2 linked regions of the Arabidopsis thaliana genome follow. The protein of the gene in region 1 interacts with the protein of each later gene in a pairwise test. Each region holds a gene or a part of one and is shown on either strand. Other genes may lie near its edges.

Region 1 (3,592 bases):
GCAGAAGAGAAGATCAAATTAATATCCACATCATTAGGAGATTAATTAATTATTTCCCAACACTAGTACATAGGGTAATCAATAAACAAGAAAGAGTCGATAATTTACAGAAACAACAAGGAGATTAAAATCCATAAAAGTGATGAGGATTAATACTGTTGGAATTTAGGATAGAAAACGAAAGGATCTAAGAGAGAGAGGAGAGAAGCCCGTACGAAGTGTGCAAATTAGCGAAGGAGATAGGGATGTCTCTAAAGCGGCTGCGAAAAGCATTACTTACAGTTTTTTTTTCTTAACACAGTTAATGTCGGTTTGAAGTCTAGCTAATTAATACAGCGGTAAATACGTTAGAAACTCCGAGTATCGATGGATCACGGAATTAGCAACCGTAGCTAAGAGTTCTCAGTATTCTCGAGTATCAATAGATCAAGAGAAGAGGAGAATTCAAAGACTTGAGATAGAGAAAAGCTTCTCTGTTTTCTTATTCAAAACAACCACCGTATCTCTTACAAGTTTAAGAGTACTTATACGAACTTAAGAATAAATCCCTTGTTGAAACTTGAGGCTAAAGCAACAAATAGCCGACACAGTTTAAAGAAAACCTAATAACAAAAACGAAAGCCCAAAAACAAAGACGAACTTGAAAAGGAAAAGACGTAAAAGGAAATAGGAAGATAGACGCTACATCACTAATTAAACTTGTCCTTATTTTTTCCTCCTACTTGTGTAATAAATACGAAACTCGATAAACTCGATGTAAAATAAAAATAAAGGTGAAATAAAAGCAAATATATATTGGACGCTTACTTAACAGTTTACCAAAAAATATATATATTTATATATATATATATATATATATAGCTAGGGATAGAAAGGGAAATTATTTGTTACATTTCATTACAGCACTATACATGCATGCAAGACCCTGGAAACAGAAGTTTTACAAGAGCTTTATTTCAAAGACAGAGACAGAAACTTGACCTTATTCATGCATACGCAAACAAACGTAAATGGTCATGACACAAAACATATATAGAGAAGGGAAACACACTGTAACCGAACATTAATTATGCTTATAGTTTGGTTTTAGTTAGATTGTGGGGATAAAACCGGTTGGGAGGATAGCGACTATGTTGAGGAGGCCGGAGACGATACTGCCGACGAGATTTAACTGGGAGATCAGTTGTCCGGTGGAAGGGAGGGTGGCGTCGCAGCTGGAGCGAGGGGTTGGGACGACGATACGACAATCGTTGAGGAGTGTGGGAAGGGATATCTGAATTCCGTTTGTAGAAAACGTGAATAATCCGGCAATGTTCGTAATTGTTTCTGCTACGACTCTGTTTAGGTTTCCACACTGGAGCTGGACGACCGCATCTGTTATTTGCACCATTAAATTAGTATGTCAACAAAGAGATCATAAATATTATCTTTTTGTGAATATTCGTCATTAAGATAAATATGATTTCGTGAATCTTTTTATTAGTTCGTATATATAGTATAGGTTAAGAATGGACAACTAACTAGCGAAAGCCGGGGCCGGAGTGCCATTGAGAGGGGCGCCATTGATGGTGCAAAAGAGAACCCCATTGATAATGGGGACATTGATACCACCAAGACCACTCTGAGCGTTAGCCATTGGAGACACCACAATGAGACACAACAAGACCAATGAGAAGGTTATGTGTTTCTTGATAACTGCCATCTTTTTTGGATTACTTGTATATGAAACTATAGAGTAGATAGCAAATATTTGTTTGTGTTGCTTTGGGTTTGGATGTGATAAAGTACTGTCTTATGCAGCTCTATTTATAGAACAAGTTTTATAGATATCTCCCCTCCTATTTACTTTGCTCTAGTTATATCTTTAGATGATTCGTTTACTTTTTTTATACACCTTATTGTTTTTATATACTTAAGTGAAAACGTCCATAGGGTTTAGTAGTGAACCCGGATCCTAGGATGTAATTTCAATGGTGTGCAATCATTCTATTTTATGTTATTTTCCCCTACACATTATATATAATTTATATCATTGAAGACAATTAATTATATATATTAGGTAAAACAATGATGTCTTCCATATTATTTCACCAAGATATCTTGAAGTTCAAATACCAAAATAAACATACAATAATCGATAACTTGAAGAATTATCCATACCGTACTTGTAATTAAATTTTTAATCATTTGCCGTTTTCCGTTTCTATTTATATTGTCTCCAAATGTTTTTTATATAGTTTCAGTACTATTTACTATTAATAGGAAAATGCTAAAAAAAGACATAGTAGAATGATAAATTTTGAGGTTAAATCTTAAAGAAATTTGTTTGATGCACTTATAAGAGCTCGAACCCGCAAGACACAAGATGGTTAAAGAGACGGCTTGAGAAAGAAAGACGCGATATTGGACTAATATAATTTTATCTTCAAATGCATTTTAAAAGTTTTTGTTCAAGAAAAAGATACAGTGAAACCAATACTCCATCAAACAATTGGACTATAGTTTTGATGCCCTTTTTCCTCCTTATGTATTTTCTTATATATAAAACAAATCAACCTTAAATAAGTAGACTCTGGATAAAGAAAAAATTCAGCAGCCATCTTATGTAACAGATTGGTCCATGGGATCTTTTTATATTATTCGACTTTGATCAAGTTGTATATATTAGTCGTATCTCGATCAAGTTGCCCTATAGGTAAACTTTTCGCAATAACTTTTAATAGTAGTAACTAGTAAGTAGTAACTTAGAAACTCAAGTAAATGGTGAAAATTGTGTATTTCTGAATTCGTTGTCGCTTCTAGTGGTGAGGCCAGATTAAGATTTCTCTGAAATATAGAAGCAGACGTGTTGGCATTGTTGAATTCATGTCATGCTTACTTAAGTTATTCATTCTTAGTATCTTATTTTCTTTCGACTTTTGTTGAATTTTGCAGGGTATTTTTCTAGGCGTTTGCTTTGGCTATTGGAGAAGAGTGATTTCGATCTTCATGGGCTCTTGTAATTTTAATCAATTGTTTTGGAAGCTTACACCATACGTTCCAAAGTTTAATTACATGAAAACTGAAATTCGCCACCAATAAGAAAAACAGTCATATTACTATGCCACACGGTTACGATCCAAATATAAAATCTATACTATATTGTTGTGCAAATCTTTACATACAACGAATATTCGTAAAGTTCATGCATCAACTAATGCAATTTGGCTAAAACTTATATTGATCGAGTGTAAGTTTAACAATTAGTCAAATTATTAATTAGTATCACATCATTATATTTATTTATTTTCTTTTATAAAATGACTGAAATGCTTTTTTCTCTATTTTGTTTAATTAGTCTAATTTTATAGAAAAAAATATAACAACGATGATATTTTTTTTTCGTTTTGTAGATTTTCTATGTTTATAAACTAATAGGTTTTTAGATTTGCACTAATACGAGAAAATGATGATTTATTCAATTATTTTGTCTTTAATTAAACGGAGTTTTAGCTTTATCTTTTCCAGCAATTGATATAGTATTAACAAAATATTTGTTTCCCAATTTTAATTTATAAAAACTCCATATCTAAATATTCCATAAAAATAGAAA
Region 2 (3,378 bases), on another chromosome or scaffold:
TGTTGTAGTCGTGAATCGAGCCGTCAGCTGCGTGAATCAAATTCCCAAGTAAGCAAAACGAAATCACCAAAAACCCTAGAAACAGATTCGTCATTTTTGAGAAACTTTGCTCACTCGCTTCTTTTTCTTCTCTCTCTGTCTATCTCACTGTCACGCAGACCCCTTTTTGGAGTATATAAAACATAAAAGCACCATGTTTATTGTTTTTCATGACTAATCTCCGTACTGTTACTTTCCGTACACGTACAACCTCTCGTCTCCGAGCTATGCACAAACACGGACCAACGGCTAGTTTGTTGTTCAATGAGTCAGGCCCATTGGGCCCAAAACTTTATTTAGTTTGCTAGAAAATAAAATCAAGTCTAGAAATCCACAACACCCATTGTTTGGCTAAAAGAAGATTTGCTCTCAGCACAAAACTTAATAACACAAACGAATGCGATGAAACTTGAAATTTTACTCCATTCATCAATTCACTCAAGTTTACAAAAGGTTAAGTAGACGTTTTAACGCATCTATGGTTCATAAATTAGATAAATAAAAATGATTTAGTAAACTGAAATGACGCCCTGATTCGGATATATATATATAAGATTACAACATTACATTATCCTCTCTTTCCTTTTTGATAATAAAATAACTGAAATCAACCAATTATAATCTTCTTCTTCTTCTTACGACATATATTATAGTCTAAAGATGCCGGTGCACACAAGATAAAGAGAAGAAAAATGGTGGATGAGGTAAATTCATAATCAAAAGTTGTTTAAAAAAGTACTCTACTCTTAATCGGAATCGCTGTCCTTGTCGTGTCCTCCTAAGTCGAACTCTTGTCCCGCATAGTATTGATTTGTTAATCCACGGTCTCCATCTGGCGGACAACATTGAACCAGAAGCTGGGGTATGTCGGTTTCACTGGACACCACAATAGTACTAAACTGTTGAGACTGTTGAGCGTATAGCGGTGGCGGGCCTAGCAGCGCAGGTGTCAAGTCAGGTTCATTGGACGCCACAAGACTGTACTGTTGAGATTCTTGAGCGTATAGCCGTGGCTGACCTAGCGGCGGCGCAGGTGTTAAGTTAGGTTTAGTGGACGCCACAGGACCACATTCTCGAGCCTTTGGAAGCGCGGATGGTGGCGGCGAGTTAGTTTTGGTGGAGCCCTTTCTATAGCCTATATATGGATTATTCAAAAGATAAACAGAAGCAAGGAAATCTATGTTACACCAAAAGTAAGATAAAAGGAACTCACGTCGTATGATCCAAATAACCAGAAATGTTGCTCCGGCTATGAAACCTGGCATCACTAAAACCGGCATCTTCTCGTCTTTTTTTTTACCATGTTTCATTTCTCTGTTATTCATTTTTGACTTGATCTTTTGGGGATCGCCAGACCAGATCTAGTGATGGATGATTCTATAGAAACTGTATAGTGCAAGTTTAATTTTATCATTTGAATGAAAAGAAGAAGAAAAAAACAATTGTTTATGACATGTGTGTGACAACTGGCAAGTCTTATTTAAAAGTCAATACCAACGGCGGTAATAATTGATACCTGGTTACTTAAATCCTTAGATTTTCTTAATGCCATAATTGACCGAGTCTATCAATGACATTGTTATCATAACTCAAATCAGATTTGATAACTTCTTAATTTCGTAGTTGACATAAATTAACAATCACTATGATAAAATTTGATATTACTAACTTACTCTTTGTCCCAAAAAAAACAAAGTATCTTACTCAAAAACTATGTACAAAACTAGTTTTAAGACCGAGTACAAAACTACTTTTAAGTTGTATTTACTAGAAATACAACTTAGTAATAATCGACAGGAAATTAATCAAATCCATCGGTAGGCGTGACTGCACAGAAGAAGGAAAATGCTGCAGAGGTAAATTCATAAATAATCAAATGACAGGTGACAAGTCTTTATCTCTGTTTTGAAATCAATATATGTATAGCTGCCATAATTTGTGGTCTTTGTTTATACTGCCATAATCAAAAAGTTTCCTAATGCCATAATATCTCGTTCCAATCCATGCTATTATATTTTAAATTTACCTCTGAACCAACAAAAGATGTACTTTGATCATTGAATACTTTTTTTTACTGGACCAACAAAAGATTTACTTTGTTAATTGTTATTCTTGTATGGATGTCAAGTAATTACAACTGAACCAAGCTTCTAAAAGCAGAAACAAGATCAAGTCCTCCTAAACAACTCAAGAAGTGTTTCTCCAGCATCACCGTTATTCTCATCACTCCCACTTCCTCTCCCTCCATTATCTTCTTCACCTTCAATCTCAATCTCAATCTCATCGTTTAAAGGCGGTATCGAACCGATGTTATTGTATGTTTCAGACAGATATTCTTCCACCCTCGACGTGTATCCATCTTGAGGACTGCTGGATGAAGCTGCTGCTCCGAATATAGACTCTGCTTGGTCTATGGAGTTTATGGTAATCTGATTCAGTGAAGTCATCGATGAGCTCCTAGACAATGTCCCCACTGTCATCTCGTCTCTCTCGTCTATTGTTGCTGTGTCAAGGGAACACACTGATCTCGTGTGCTTAGACCTCTCTTTCACTCTCTTGCACCAACTGTGAAGTGAGTCTCTTACGCTCTCTGCTATCACAGCTTTCTTATGCCGAGATCCCATCTGTTCAGATTCAGGTGAAACCATAGAGTTTTTATGAACGATGTTTAGTCACAGACTTGGATAGGCTTAAGATTGTGGAATTGTAGATATATGAAAGGTTTTGACGAACCTGAGTAACGATTACATTGAGAGGCACAGTGCCATAACTACACCAGAACTGAACGAGAACCCTGCATTCACCAGAAAGAAAAAAAAAATCTTAAGAGACAGTGTGTTGCTGCGAATTGTTGTGTATTTGAAACGCACCCAGAAATTAGCCGGCTTGATATCATCACATGGTTCTTCATGAAGCAAGATCTTTCCTTGATTCCCCACTGATACATGAAATTGATGATCTTCTCAAAAACTGAAAAACTTTGCATAGCTGATTTAAGTATTGATGCATTTTATAAGGTGGCCTTACCAAGAACCAGATGAATGTTGCCATTTCAAATGCATTCTGCATTAGCAGGAAATATATAAGGATCATCTGTGTGAATAGAGTAATATCATGGCTTGAAGAATTGAGAAAGGAAAAGTCTTTTTGCTTACCTGAAAAATGATAAATTGTATCAACCGTAGCAGAATTTCTGGTTTCCCAAACCAGAAGAGCCCATCACGTGGTTTGACTTGAGCCCCATTAGATGTGCCTGTCTGCTGCTCCTTAACCTCGAGAGCAAGCTTGGAGACAACATGCTCAAGTTTGGTTCCAACCAACATGACAAGCTTAGACAAC

What was found.
Region 2: the proteins of AT3G16670 (region 1) and AT1G10990 interact in a protein complementation assay, tested with the Arabidopsis thaliana proteins (one large-scale study listed by BioGRID).

What each region holds. Positions count from the first base shown.
Region 1 is NC_003074.8:5,679,610-5,683,201, reverse strand, and holds AT3G16670 (Pollen Ole e 1 allergen and extensin family protein), read right to left. Parts: upstream 1,823-3,592; 5' UTR 1,703-1,822; coding exon 1,522-1,702; intron 1,375-1,521; coding exon 1,091-1,374; 3' UTR 840-1,090; downstream 1-839.
Region 2 is NC_003070.9:3,669,728-3,673,105, forward strand, and holds AT1G10990 (uncharacterized protein), read right to left. Parts: upstream 1,465-3,378; 5' UTR 1,365-1,464; coding exon 786-1,364; 3' UTR 516-785; downstream 1-515. Other genes in the region: AT1G10980 (Lung seven transmembrane receptor family protein), read right to left, coding at 1-94; MLO4 (Seven transmembrane MLO family protein), read right to left, coding at 2,208-2,663, 2,773-2,833, 2,910-2,977, 3,067-3,102, 3,195-3,368.